Linked DNA regions of Struthio camelus. The protein of the gene in region 2 interacts with the protein of the main gene of each other region in a pairwise test. Links are inferred from orthologs where the notes say so. Each region holds a gene or a part of one and is shown on either strand. Other genes may lie near its edges.

Evidence for each region. The genes of interacting proteins can lie anywhere in the genome.
Region 1: the proteins of RETREG3 (region 2) and STAP1 interact in binary tests that used the Homo sapiens proteins (3 or more experiments, as listed by UniProt). The two-hybrid records come from large-scale screens. The link is inferred for Struthio camelus from reciprocal best matches to the Homo sapiens genes RETREG3 and STAP1.

What each region holds. Positions count from the first base shown.
Region 1 is NC_090945.1:5,207,512-5,215,376, forward strand, and holds the start of STAP1 (signal-transducing adaptor protein 1), read left to right. Parts: upstream 1-4,862; 5' UTR 4,863-4,980; coding exon 4,981-5,172; intron 5,173-7,865. Other genes in the region: CENPC (centromere protein C), read right to left, coding at 1,379-1,425, 2,947-2,961. UniProt on the Homo sapiens protein: In BCR signaling, appears to function as a docking protein acting downstream of TEC and participates in a positive feedback loop by increasing the activity of TEC.
Region 2 is NC_090966.1:7,760,299-7,767,627, reverse strand, and holds the start of RETREG3 (reticulophagy regulator 3), read left to right. Parts: upstream 1-4,321; coding exon 4,322-4,503; intron 4,504-4,674; coding exon 4,675-4,781; intron 4,782-6,344; coding exon 6,345-6,375; intron 6,376-7,329. Other genes in the region: TUBG1 (tubulin gamma-1 chain), read right to left, coding at 1-32, 860-986, 1,595-1,674, 2,447-2,515, 2,778-2,945, 3,598-3,710, 3,955-4,099. UniProt on the Homo sapiens protein: Endoplasmic reticulum (ER)-anchored autophagy regulator which exists in an inactive state under basal conditions but is activated following cellular stress.

The sequences.
Region 1 (7,865 bases), on a different chromosome or scaffold from region 2:
GGAATAGCCCTCAGGTAACACAACTTTGGGCTGAACAGACTTTCTGGCTTTAAAAAAAAAAAAACAAAACTCATGTAATACTGTCTGCACAATGATCCAACCTCAGCACACATGGAAAGGAAATTTGTAGGCAGCACATCTGTCTCCTCACACAAAGAGCCACCCTTGTCTTCTCTTACTACCACTCAATCAGTTACTCCAAGCTTCTACCATAGCTTCAACAGCAAGAGTTGGCTTGAAGTTTCAAATCTGTAAGCAAGTATCAAACCAGCTCAAATGGTTAGGTTGCTATTTCTTATCTCCTCTAAGGGAACTGAAAATGGCAGAAGAGATCCACTAGCTAAAACACTTTGATGAAAATAACAACAAAAAAGCTACAGAACACTTCTTCCACGTGATTATTATATGTCTTCTAAAACAGATAATTTTGTAGATTTTTTTCTTAGCAAACTCATGAAACGCATGTCTAGAAACGGATGCCAGTAACACAAAGCTCACTAACTTCTGAAATTCCTTTAGGAAAGACTACAGCACAACAAATACTCAAGCTACTCTTCAGTACTCAACATACTCAACATACAATACTCAAGCTAATTTACCAGAAAGGGCCAAACAACACAAGTTCGAACTCTGCAGGTGCTTCATTTCTCTACAACCTCAGAGGAAAAACGTTTGCAAGGACTACTGTTTCAGTACTCAACTAGCCTAGCTAGAGGTAGCCTCAGTATCTCTGCACCATAGTCTGCCACTTTAATAGAGGAATGCAAAGGAAAAGCAGTCAATGAAAAAGGAAAGAGCCTGGGAAGGATAGAAAGTAAAAAATATATATATACACACACATACATAAGTACATTGAATTTATATTAAATATATACACATACACACATCTATGTATTTTTTTAATGTAAATTACTTAAATTGTGTAAATAAAGGACTCTATCCTGTGGACAACCTATCACTAGATGTCATACTGGCTATTGAGGTGGACAATATTCTCTGTTGCAGAATTGCTGCCATCTGTTCTCCGCTCTTTGCGGCAAATGAAACAGTAGTAACACCTTTGCACCCACGAGGTCTAGGAGGAATGCATGCACTGAGGTAAGAGAGCATCAGAAGCATATTAAACACTAATTTTTCCAACCATTGATCAAAAGGACATACAAAGTGCTAAACTCCAAGCTTCAGTAAGACACTGTATTCTCTCCCTGAGCACAATTTGCTTTGCACTGCTAAGAAATACAAGTTGGGAACCGCTACATAACCAATGTTAAAAGATACGCTCCTGTAATTTTGACATTAAGTTCACAGAAATAAATCAGGGTAACTTTTCCAAACTATACTGTCTAAAACTGGAATTTTAAGTATAAATGTAAATTACCCTCCTCCATGGCAGAATCTTGTTCTGTAGTCTTTTTTGAAAAGGTTCTGTTAAGAAAGAAGAATCAGTTTTTAACAAGCACGTTGCCAACAAATCTTGATGATTCTTGATTCATCATAAACTAGTAGCAGTTACTGCAGCCCTATTATTCTGAGAACCCTGCAGTTCTGACAGATGTGCTCAGCACCCCTTTAACAACTGCCAGGGATTCAACTTTCCTTAAGAAGCATCAAGCATGTGTTGCATTGAAATTAATTGCAAGACTTACATGACAAAAATATTACAGAATCTAAGGGATTAGTTAAATTTTCTATTGCCATTATAGAAATACTCATCTTAACAACAAAAAGGAATCAACGACCACAAAGCACGCTAGGTCGTAACCTTACAGCCCATCTAACTGATCTGTGGAAACTGCTCACATAGAGATTCTTACCCTGTATTTTTCACAGGCAAGACCACGACAGGCAGTTACAGCATAATAGCCATTCCATGATAAAATTACCACCTTGCTGAACTCAACTTTAATTGACAGTTATGACTTCTTCCAATCTGCTGCTGGAATAAGTGCATGTGCAGTATGAAGATCATTCAGTCCTAATGCAATAGAATTCAGCATGCTCTTCCTAATAATTTTGCCATACTGAAACCATTTCATACTTTTCCGAATAGAAAGTGATGGCTTCACCTAGGATTTCTTTCACATATTTCTGCAGATACTACCTCTGCTAATAAAAATGACCAAAAATCTCATTTTATTCCAAAAAAAGAATTTCATTCCACTGCAGATTTTCAACCTTAAAACGGTAGGATTAAATCCCATATCACTCAGTGAATTGAATGGCTTATAACACAAAATGTCATCACTTCACAACAAGTACGGAAACTGTACTCTACAGTGAGCCAGTCGCTTAGGCTTGAAGCTCTTCAAGCAAGCAACCTTTCACGTAAAAAATGAAACATTCCTGTGTCGGAGCTAAAAGGGCTTTTAAGTTTATTGGTGATTATGTTAATACTCCACTGCACATAAAGAGCCTTTAAAATTTTACCCACCGCATATATATATCTGATGGTGGTCTGCAGGAGGAAGATGGGTACCTCTCTAATATAGCTAGGCAAGAATTATTGATTCTTTGCATGCTACCCCCTAAAAGGAAGGTTTTCAGAAACAAGCAGTAGGAGCAGTTACAGGCAGCCTAAAGAAAACAGGGCTCTCAGAAGACAAGCTCTCAGCACAGAACTGCTTGTGCCAGCACCTGGGGCCGAGCCAGTTGGTGCGGTGCCCGTCAGGGAGGGCAGAGCACTAACACCGGCCGCGGTCTCCCCAGGAGCGAGGCCCAAAGCAGCCCCAGGGACCCAAGGGTTGAGCCGAGACTGCACGGCCGGAAAGCACCGCAGAGGGCTCGGGCAGGCCTCGGGCCGGCCCAGGAAGCCCGCGCCGGGAGCCGCCCGGCTGTCAGGAGTGCAGTGAGGAGAGAGGGGCAGGGGAAGGGGAGGGTAACAGCCGCTCGCGGGGCTCGCGCCGCACAACCGCCCCTTCCCGCGCCCCCGGGCTCGCGCTCTCTCACCAAGGCCTCCGCCATCCCGGGCCGCCGCTGCCACGACAAAGACGAGGACTCCCGGCCCTACGGCGCGGGGGTCGGCCAAGCCGTCACCCCGCGCCCGCCTCTCTCTCCCCCTCCCTCCCCTCCGGCCGTTCGCCCACCCGCTCGCCTCACGACTTTCGCCTCACGACCCGTTCGCCCCTCACGACTTTCAAACCTCGGGGGCTTTCCCACTGCGCGCCCGCGCGCGCGCGCGCAGAGCAGCGGCAGCGCCCCCTTCCCCCCGCCCCATTGGTCAGCGGGGGGCCGCGCGCCGGAGAGGGCGGTATCTTTGCGCGCGCGCCATACCCGCCTCCTCCAGCCGTTGCCGCGCGTGCGCAGAAGGTTGCGCCGCAGGCTTCCCCCCGCCTCAGGGGTAATGGGGTCTTTCTCTCGCGCGGCCGTTGCCTTTATTCCCCTCTTTCCCCCTTGAGCCATTACTAATTGCGCTGTCTTTAAAGCGCAGAATGTAGCAAGGTTACTCGGAGGATCTGCTCAATCTGTCATGATACTCATTCTCGAATATTCATCCCCATCCCTCCCTAGGCAAGGTCTCCTGGCGGGTCACTGCATTATTTTTTTCCTTCCTGTATAAATTTCAGCAAAGTTCAAATACTCAGGTTTCTAATAAACGCTGCAAAACACCTACAATCACCACGAGATTTTGACTTTTTTTTAAGCGTTATTGAACTCAGCCGGGAGCTACTGCTGAAAGAACCGTTTGAGGAGATACGCTGCTACAAAAGCCAGCCCAAAACATATCTTAAAAAGACACATTTTTAGAGCGCACCGCACAGGACCGAGTTCATCAGCTCCAGCCTGCATAGTCATTTTCTGTCTTGCCATGCAACAGTGCAGGTACCTGTCTTCATAAGCTCTTCTGCAACATTCAATGGTGAAGTCAGAGTCTGCCATTTAAATTAAATTAAAAAAGAACGCACATCAACTTCTGCAATCTGAAATGTAAACAAAAGCTGAGACTATGGATCTGTCCACAGCAGTATTTAGAGATGACATGGAGATGACATGGAGAATTCACTTTCGCCTATACAATTGTACCTCTCTTTTCTGCTAGGGCTGGCTAGCAGCTATATGATCCATCACAGATCGCCTTACAGGTCAATTATGTACTCATCTTACAGGTGCATGCTGCTGAAAAACAAAAAAAAGAGCAGGAAGATGTTCAACAACAAATGATCCACAGAAATTTTTCACATTCACTTTATCTCTCACACCAAAAAGCACCAAAATACCAAGTCCTGTCATTGCTATTCTTTCTGAACGCTTTAGGAAACGCCAGAAATGAAGCAAAACATAACGGTTCTGTGAAGTCAATGGAAATTTCACCCCTCATTTCAGAAGGACCAACATTTCACTCTTGAACTACAATTTCCCTTCACAATTTTTTATTTGGCTTTGGTATATTAGCTCTTTCTATCCTGCATGCACACTAGAAATTTGGCTGTCAGTAATAAACAGTGGTAGGTAGGCTTATTTCTGATATTACTGTTGGGGTTCTGTAATCCTACTAGATGTCCCATTTCCTAAAGAAATTTCAATTAAAACAGTCATAATCTGGTAGTCGTAATGTTAAAACACATATTCACACAGAAAACTTTCAATAGTACTGTGGAAGCAGCTAAGAGTACAAACAGTCTCCCTAGCTGGTAGATAGCCCATGTAACCCTTGTTGGACCCAAGTCCAATACTTTTAAGTTATAGTAAGGAGGCTTTTCTGCCATTATCTCTGAGTGAAACCAGCTGTAGTAGTGATGCAGTTTTGTACCAGAAGGTTCATCATTTGGCTCTTCCTCTTTGAGCAAACCAAGGAACGAGCTCATAGATGTTTTGCTAGAAAAGATCCTTTGAATCCATTCAGCCTGGTTCCTCCTGTGATTATATGTTGAGTAAAGAGTCTGTGGCATGTACTGACCTAAAAGTAAGTACAGAGACTTCCTCTTTAAACTGTTGGGTTTTTTCCCCTCTCACCGAGGTGAGTTTCTTCTCCAGCTGAGGCTGATGCAAGGCAGGCAAGAGCAGGAAAGAGGGAAAAAAACATCTGATATCCAGAGGTCCCTGGGAAGCATTATGGAAGAGCCTGAGAAAATTCCTAAACCGGCTCCCCGGAGAATCTTCCACGAGAGACAGAGGGTCACCGGTCTGCCTTTGTACTTTGAAAGTTATCTGTCAATCCGGCATTCAAGATGCCAGGTAAGGTGCCCAGTCCCAGTAAGTAGATATGTTTAAACACTTTTGCAAAAATCTGCCAGTGTGAGCTGCAGACTTGGGGGGAGAAACACTTCTCAGTGCTGCCCAATGCATGTAGTTGCACCGAAATAAAGCTATTTTGCTTAATTTGCACTTTCCATTATTTCTGCTCATGCCTCTTGAAAAAGAAGTAAACCAAAGTATGTAATGTAACCGTCAATATCTCCAGGGTTCCATTATAGTTTACTGTTACCTACTGAAAAGCAGACTAAAAGTGACTGGTTTCATAGTTAACACCATGGTGAAAGTCAATGCAATATTTTTAATAACAAGAGCAAAGTTTGACATTGTAACGTTGTTCTGATGCATCCCATATTTACTGGACAATAGTATCCATCCTGAGATCTCCAGCGACACACCACTTGAAGCGTACATGAGGCATTCTATACCTATTTTTGTTGTTGTTGTTAAAGGCTGATCATTCAATATGTGTGGACTAACTGAGAAAAATAGTACCTTGATTTTTTTGACACACAATAACCATTTAAGACCCAAGTTTGTAAGTGCCTTCATACTGTTCTGTGTGCTATCGTAGCATATATTTTCAGAGCATGTCCTTAATCAAGCTGATTGCCTTTATTAGCACTTGACAACGGTGATCCTTTGTACTTAGGGTTACAAAATAGTCTTTGCCTTAACCCTACCTACACTCTCATCTCTGTAGATACAGAAGCACAGACAGAGTAGAGAAAATATGAGTTACAGAGGCTAAAGATGGATATAGTCAAAAGACGAAAATAGCACAGTGGTTCACAAGAACAAACAGGTACCACAGAAAACAGGAACTCCAAGAAGCAAAAAGCAGACTATTAGCCTTGCTGTTAAATTGTTTGCAGCTCTCAAAATTCTTCTAAGCATTGCTTTGCTGTGTCTAGCATGAGAATACCTGTATGTTTAATAAAGCTCTCTCACACATTCCTTTATTTATATACTTCTACATTAAAACTTTTTTCCTGAAGAATCCTCCTTCGGAAATGTAATCATCACCATAATACAATAATAAACAATAGCAGGCCAGAGCAATAACACACAGCCAGTCTAAAAAGGCTTATGTGATGCTGAAGAGGTATACTAACCACCTGAACTACAGACCAGACACCAGGAAAAAAGAACTCATTAATACATATTTCTTAACTGGATCTGACTCCTAAAAAGTACCATGTTACTATGAGCCACTTCAAATCATATGGCACCTTTCTGAAAAAAGAAAGGACTCTCTGTGTGCATTACTTTTACAAATACTACTCTATTTTAAGTATCTAAAGATGTCTTTAAGCAGTGGCCAGCTTCAGTTTCACGTAGTGCTGCGTTACAAGTACTACTTCCTCCTGTGCTAATAGTTCTGCCACCTCCTCCTCGTGACGCAGGTAGACTGCATACAGGGCCTAAGGAACACTTATGGCTGTGAAACACCAACAAATATTCCTGGGCTAATACTACTGCATTTCCATAGAGCACAATGCCCAATTTATAAGGTGTGATTCAAAAATTTCCCACGACATCCAGCACCCTGCCTCTCTCAGCCAAGCACTACGCCACAGCAAGCCTTCACAGGCTTCATTAACTTGCTAGGGACAGATGTTTTAAGGAGGACATTTATGTTCATAGCACACTGCAGCGCTCAGAGCTTGGGGTCCAGGGGCTGAATGCTATAGAGGACATTACACAAGTGATTTCACAGAAGCCACCAGAAAAACTAGTTAGGAGTTAGCAGTGCAGGGAGCAAGGACCACCTGCAAGATACTTTAGGAAAAATATTTTGTTCAGTCTAATTCATATAACCTTGGAGACTTGAAGACTTATTTCTTTTCTCCATTTCTGTGAAAACCTCCAACTTCGTGTCAAAAAAAAAAAAAAAACCCAAACAAACCCCAAAACAAAATAGGTAAGTAAAACGAAGACTAAAACAGAACATGTATTTTACAGGTTTGCATTCCCGATTCACAGTCCTGTAACAAATACACTTCTCAGGGGCACAAGAACAACAGAAAAACCTTTCCCGTCATTCAGGGCAAGATAGTATTAAGGAACATTTGTAACAGTCAGACAGTCGTATTTACCATGACATTTGGTTGATTACGTGCGGTTGATTTACAAACACTATCACATGTAATTTACAGACAAAGTACATGAAATATATCACTTCAAGTACAAGAAGTCCAAACAATAGGTTAGACTACTGTCAAGTTCCGTGAGAAAGGCATTAACGTGGTCTTATCCCTAAAGCACATAAACTAGCATGATCAAAATTAAATACAAGTAAGCAGTTCAAGGGAACAGTGTTCAGAAGACTGGCATCTTTAAACATGTTCCTGTTGCACGATTTTCCACTTTCTAGAGAATGATGTGCTGAGAACAACGAGGAAAGAGTTTGCTTTTTGTTTACTAGCTATCTTAAGCAGGATCGGGATCTTGCTTTTTCTGCTTTTCAACTTAAAAATTAAGCGAATGTCCAGCTCACTTTTGTATTTGTCCAAAGTATGGAGTGTCATTTTTATGCCTTTTAGGGACAGTGAGAGTTTTAAATGGTACTTAAAATATATTTTTCTTTCATTACTTATTAATTTTAAATTGACAAATGTTAAAAATCTTCACTGTTGGTTAACTGGTAACCAGAGGAGAATGTGTTTTTAAGT
Region 2 (7,329 bases):
ATCCGATTCAAGGCCGTGTTGTCTAGAACCACCTACAAAAGAAAACCACCTCCATGAAGAGTCTTGAGAATCACCTGGAGGAAATGCAGCCCTAGCCAAGTGTCTGAGGGAACCAGATCACGCAACCTGGCCCAGGACAGGCCCTGAGCGCCACAGCCCGGTGGAGCCCTCTGCAGCAGGTGGCAGACGCTTGAAACCACAAGCTGACTCATTCCTGGAGCGTAACCGATACTGTCAATGGAAGCTCTTCCCTCCTGTCTTGGCTGCGCTCCCCAGAGCTCTCCCAGGAGAGCGCTGCCTCTGGGCCAGCACCTCGCAGCGACCTTTACCCTCAACAACCCTGGCACAGCTGCTCTTGCCCTGTCAAATGCAGAGATAAGCTGGGAGGGACGAGCAAGCGTCTTGGTTAGGACCTGACAGAAGGCCAAGGTGTAGGCTGAAGATGTTCTGTGGCTGGGGCTTGTGGGTGCTGAAAGTGATAAGCGGATTCACGGTCAAGCGGAAGGCAGCAGCACAGCTATGCAGAAGCAGCACAGCTAGCACCAGCCCCTCACTGCCATGGGAAGAATATGCTGTAGCCACAAAGCAGAAATGCCAAAAAGGACAGCTCAACCAAGGGTTAGCGCAGAGCCCTTGTCCCTGGAACCACCACATCTGCTCAGACCTTCTGGAGGAAAAAAGGAACTGTGCGCTCACTGCTGTGCCTGGGGCTGCCAGGCTGCAGCTTCTCGCCGCAGCACTCGTCCCACGCACCTATGGCACCTGCCCCAGCAAAGGCTGCGTTTTTGAGCTGCTGGGAACAGGTCTGCCATACAGGAATTGGCTGCCCCACGGGCCTGACATGCAGCAGGACTCTTACCACGCAGTCCGCGTTCTGAGTCAGCCTCTTGAGTGTCAGCAGAGAGTTGTACGGCTGCACTACAACATCGCTCATCTCATCCTGGTTTGGGAAAACTGAGTAGGTCTCCACCAGCTTCTTGGGATACCTGGTGAGAAAGCCCAGCCGTCTCAGGGGTTAACATCACCAACACAGGACTCTCTCCTCCCACAAGCTCCCTTTCCAGTCTCTAGGGCTCAGGACAGCAGTGAGTCACTGGTGCTGCATGCCAGACTCAGCTCTCAGGGAGGGAGAGGATTTGTCCCAGCAGTGCCTACCCTAGCAGCACAGGAGCAGGCTGCCAGACGGAGCTACAGCCAAGGCTGAGCCATCCGCGGGCAGATTAAGCAGCTGCTTACAAGCCTTTTCAAGAGGCTGCAAGCTGCAACAGGCAGGGATGGCAGCTCAGAGCCCACAGCTAGAGCCTCCCACTCTCCCCAGAGCAGTTAGGGTGTCAGGAGGCAACTGCCTGATAAGAACGGCTGAAGAAAGACAAAATTTGGACAGCATGAGTCCAGATTCAGAGCCTCCGAAGTCCTCAGGCATATCAGGAGCCATCCCTTTCCAGGCAGCTTGCCAGGGATTGCACAAGACAGTGTTTGGGTGGGGGCAGCGGCCCAGGCTCTGAGTCAGCGCTCTCAAGCTCTGTGCTTTGGCAGGGTGCCCAGTCTGGGCCAGACTCTGCCAGGAGGGAAGGGGATAAAGCTGAATGCTCACCTGTCATTCAGCTTCTCAAGGAGATAGGAGCCCAGCCCGGAGCCTGTACCACCAGCAATGGAGTGGCAAAGCACAAATCCCTGGAAAGAAGCAGAACATAGGCAGCTCAAGGTCCAGCTCAACCCAAAGAGCAGACAGAGCAGAGACAGGCTGAGCCACCACCACCAGCAGAGACTTGCCAACACAGGTGAGAACTACCCCCTGTGACAAGAGCTGCTGAGAGCAAAGAGATGAAGCCTTTGAACGGTACGTGGAGGTTAGCCTCGTCTCCTCCAGACTACAGCGGCAGTCACTCACTAATCACACCACTTCTGCCAGCGGGGGTGCAACCTACTTCTTTGTACATGCCAAGAAGAACAACTGCTGCTCAGGAGCCTCCTGGATTCCTCCCACCCTGAAACAGGCTTCAGAGTAGCTTGGATATCATTTTCAGGTCTCAGTCAGTCAATTAAAGTGAAGATATAGGTTCTTAGCCCTTTCCCTGGGCCCTCCATGCTATTCCCCTCCTTCTAGGATCACGGAGGCCAAACTCCCTCTACCTGACTTCAGCGCAGCTCCCACCCACTGCAGGTCCCACAACCTGCTCTTTGATCTTCTGCCAACCTATTTTAATATCACTTCCCTTGTTGCCATGTGACAGCTTGATACAAACACCAGGGAGCCTTGTTTGGGTTTGTGCAGATGGTAGCCAAGGTACTGCCAGATGCACAAGGCAAAGCAGTCGAAGAACCAGATACCCTTCTCCTCGACATCTCTGAGCTATTGAAGGTATCTCTGGTGCGCCTATCAACCAGCCTGGCCCTGGAATCACCAGTCAGGGCAACTGGACTGAAAATCCCCCGATGGACTTACTTCCAAACTGTCACTCCCATCAGCTTCTCTGTCTATTATGTCAAAAATATCTTCATGGATTTTTTCTCCCTGCAAGATAAAACCAAAACAGGACTTGTTCCTTCCCTGCACAGAAGGGTAAAGAGCCCCTCAAACCTGGAGTGAAGACAAGTCAGATCAGCAACGGGACCCTGCATTAAGGGTGCCACAAAGTGTCAGTCATAAGTCTGTTTGAATAATATGGTATTCTTCAGAGAGCATGTACTGAGCCCGGCATGAGAAAGGCCACAATAAATCCTCATGCCTAAGGAACTGACAAGTGCTTGGGCAGAAGAGCACCAGAGCCTTTTACCTGTGAGAAGCCACTGGCCCAGTTGTTCCCAGCTCCCCCTCCATGCTCAGACAAGTAGATGTTTTCTGGGTTGTAGAGGTTGGCATAAGGGGAGTTCAGGATGGAGTGGATAACTCGGGGCTCCAGGTCCAGAAGTACAGCTCGCGGGATATAGTGCTCATCATCTGCCTTTAACAAGGAACAGTAAGATCATGATGCAGGAGCAACTCAGTGCAGCCCTTTACTGCAAGAGAAACTGCAACTGAGTGCGCCACCCCCTGGCCACAGCAGAGCACAACACAGTGTCATCTCCGACAGAGAAGACGAGGTAGAGAAACTTGTTGTACTGCAGCAGTCTTCACGAGCCCCAGAGCCTATCAGGAATGTTGGGCGTGCAGAGTGGCGAGGGGGCTCTTCCATAAAGGGCTTACAGTCTCAGCGGTTATGTAACGTGGAAACTATAAACGTCTTTCTCAGGCACTACAGTCCTACCTTCAGCAGCCTCCGCAACACATCCATTTCCAGAAACCGGAGCACAGACAAGAGCCCTGACCGACGCTGCCTAGCAGGAGAGCTCAGCTGAGCCTGCCACTCACATAACCGGACCCAGGGTCAGAGTCAGCCCACGGGGCTGCAGGAGGGAGCCGAAGCTGTCGGGAACGACCCTGGCGGCCCTCAGGCGCGGACGAGCCGGGTGAGGAAGAGAGGAGCAGGCGCGGCGCGGCGCGTCCCAAAGCCGGCTCGGCCAGCCGAAGGGCGGCCGGCGGCCGGGTCGGAGCTGCGTGCGGCACGCCGAGGGCGCAGGCCGCAGCCGGGGCAGGGCAGCGCGGGCCCGCGGTACCTGGTAGAAGAAGACGTCCTTGCGGTCGGTGCCCTCGGTGGCGAACTCCTCCACGATGCCCTCGGGGCTGATGCCGTGCTCGGCGCAGAGCTGCTTCCAGAACTCGAAGCCGACTGCGGGCAGGGGCGCTGCCGTCAGGAGCGCCGGGCCGGGTCGGACCCGAACCGGGGCGCAGGGGCCGCGGCCGGGCCGGGCCGAGACCCCGGACCGGGGCCCCGGGCATCCCCCCGCGGTGGCCCCGCCCCCGCCCCTTCTCCAGGCCCCGCCCTCTTCTCCAGGCCCCGCCCCCTTCTCCAGGCCCCGCCCCCTTCTCCACAGCCTCCCGCCCGGCCCGGCCCGGCCCGGCCGCCCGCTCACTCTGGTTGCCGCACTGGCCCAGCTGCAGCGTGATGATCTCCCGCGGCATCGCGGCCCTCGTCCCGCGCTGCCCCGCGCCTCCCGCCGCCGCTCCGCGCCGCTCCCAGCCGCCGTCTCCCGCCCGGCGCCAAGCGGCACTGGGCATGCGCGCAGTGCACTTCCGGGAGACCGCCGCTCGCGCCCCCCCCGCCCCTCGCGGCGCCCCGGCAACGCGCGTGCGCACTGGCCACCGAGGGGGCGGTGGCGCCTGCGCCGCCATGGCGGCGCCCGCTGCGCCCCGACTTCCGGCTCTGGGGGCCGCCATGTCGCCGGCGAGCCGTGCGCTTGCGCGCTTGCGCGCGGCGGATGTTGACGGCGTGAGGGAGCCATGGCGGCGGCGCGGCCCGGCGGCCCCGGCGAGCGGCAGCGGCGGGTGGAGGCGCTGAGCGCGGCGCTGCGCGGCCGCCTGGGGCCCTACGAGCCGCTGCTGAGCGCGGCGCAGGCCGCGCTGGTGTGGGAGCGGCCGGGCCGCAGCGCGCTGTGCTGGGCGGCGGCGCACGGCCTCTTCGGGTGAGCGGCGGCGGCGGCCGGGCCCTGGGTCCGTCCCCCCGGTCCGTCCCGCCGCGGGCCCCTCCGCCCGCCGCCGCCGGCGGGCTAGCTTTGGGGCTGGTCTGCGGGACTGCCTCTGCGCGTGTCGTACGCGGCCGCCCCGGGACCGATCCCTTCGTTTCTTCCCCCTAGGTTTTTTGCTCTCACTTCCCTGCGGCTGGTGTTCCTGGCTGCCCTCGCCCTCATGGTGCTGGTTTGCCTGGATCAGTGGAAGAACAAAATCTGGCCTGAAATTGGAGGTAAGCTGCAGCGTCTGAGCGGGTCCCGGCAGAGCAAGCGCTCTTGTTGGCTCTGGAAGTACGCGCTCTGCATCGCTTGGCGTTACAGGGTTAGGTTGGTTGTTTGTTTACTTTGTGAATCTAGAAGCAAGCAAAAAGACTTGCTGTTTTGTGCCGCTTGTTCTTCCTGGAGTTGCTTTGAAAAGGCCCGACCTATGTAAAAGTAAGACGAGCGAGTGGCATTTGTCTCGTAAGCATGGGAATTCCCTCTTGCGCTTCAATTGCTAGAAAGTTGAGATCCTTTAAAACGTTACTGGGGGCCTCAGTGCTTGTAATGCTTTTGTTTATGGGATGTCATCGCAGGCTCTTGTTTGCTTGCCAGGTGTGATTTTAGGGTGTGTTGAAATATTGGCCAGTTTGAACTTTTGCCATCTTTGCTTGTCACCTCTGTCTGATCTTATGCGTTAAAGATAAGATATCCTTGAGTTACAAGGGAATTACCTGTACAGCCTTAAGCTGATGTTGCATAGAGTATTCTGCTAATAGAAAAACTTTGTAATATTAATAATTCACTAAAGTGATAGCATGCAGGTATGAAATATCTGATGCATGTGAACTAGTCCACGTTTTGAAGAAGAGGTTTGTCTTCCAAGCATTTAGTACGTTTGAGGCATATGCGGACTAGGCCTGCCCTTTCTCCTCTGGATCTGTAATAATCCAGCTTGGGTGTTTTAGGATAAAGATGGATCCCAGCCTTGCCTACTGAGTAGAGATTTTTTTTAAAGGAGAAGCATCTGAAAGGCTGCTAATTAAGCTAAACTTTTAGTAAACAAGCAATCCTATCTATCATTTATAATAATAACATAATCATGAATAAGAGTGTTTTTAGCAGTTCTGGATTTTATTTGCTTTGCTTGGATGGGTGGGTTTCGAAGCAGTATGTATGGTCTGCATGCTCCCAGGGTTGGTTCCTTAACTAACTAGCGAGTACAGCTGCCAGCTTTCATGCTTCAGCTTGTGTTCTCCGTAGTTCTTGGGAAGACATTAAAGCTCTACTCAGTTTCTAGCACCAGCTTTTTTCTGACTATATAACTGAAGTGTTCTTACTTACAGAGAAGTGGGGAGAGTTCTCTCTCCAACTCCCTCACAACCTAGATTTAATTTGGTTGGATAACTGATACATCCTTGAGTCACTTTTCAAATACCAATCTGGGTGACAAAGTATCAAAAAACTTTCTGATGCCTCTGAATAAACAGGCTTTCTTCCTTCACCATCTGGGGGTTGGGGGGGGGGGTGAAAGCAATATATATATATTTTTTGCTAATACCTGTTGCTGTAGCCAGAGCAGATGCTGTCCAGCAAATAGTGAAGAGCAACAAGGAGACTGTCTTGCAGTCTTACACTGTTGTATGTGCTAGTTCAGAATGTGCTTCAGAGTGATGTTTCTCTGGTTCTTAATTACAGTTAATATTTTTTTTTAGGCATTCCCCAACTCATTAAAGCTTTAGTTATATCCCAAGAGCTAAGCATTCATGCAGCAGAATTCCTTGCAACTAATTTAGTGTCTGTTCTTAATGTTTTAGTGGCAAGACCTGATGAATTAGACAATGAGAGGTAGGAAACTAATTGAATCCTCTGCTGTTTGGTACTTTGCTGTGATAAAATACAACTATTACCTGCATATGTTTGTAATGTTGGCTTCTTTGACAGGGGAAGGAAGGGGGAGAAGGGAGCTGGTTAGTGGAGGGAGGATGAAGCCCTGGATTCTTTCAAACCATTGTGTCAAATTTTTGACTTGCCCAAGCCATAATACTTAACCTCTGCCTTGATACTGGCCTATGATAATGCTTGCTTGAGTGTTGTAAAACTTCCCCTGGCAGTTCCCCTCACACCCCTTAAATTAGAGGTGCTGCCTTAAAAACAATTCCTTCTGTATGGGTCTCTTTTTTGAGGCGGGGGAGAATACTCAAGTCAGCCTTCTGAGACTAGATATGGGATGTTTAACAGGCAGAAGTTGCTGCTGCATAGTTATGATCTGAGTGCAGCATTAATAAGGGGTTGAGAAGTGCTGGGGTACTGCATTACTAATAACACCTTCCTCTCTCTGGACACACCTTTCTGCCTGCTTCTGCTGCTGAGCCACACTGGATGCTCAGATTCCTGGTTAAATCACTTCATCTGTTGCCAGATGACTTTTTTTTTTTTTTTGCGAGAAGCCCAAGTACAAAAGGAATTGCTCTTGCTAAGCTTCAGTTCCTTGTGACTAGCAGTTAAGAAGCGCTAATAGAACTTGCCAAACCTAATGCCTTCAAAAGTGGCTGAATGTATAAGGTGTGGTACAAAGCTGCTTGGAAACCTCATGCTGAATACTTGGCAGTTGCACTTGACTGAAGAAATGCAGAGAAAGCAAATGAATGCATTTGATTTGCTTCTCTATCCTTTTGCCTTTAGCTAAACTGACAGAAAAATGCCACTTGATTTTTTTTTGTTGTTTTTTTGTTTTTGTTTTTGTTAGCTACTGGCAAAGTTTTCTTGATAATGAGCTGAAGCTGACTGCTTTTGGAACTT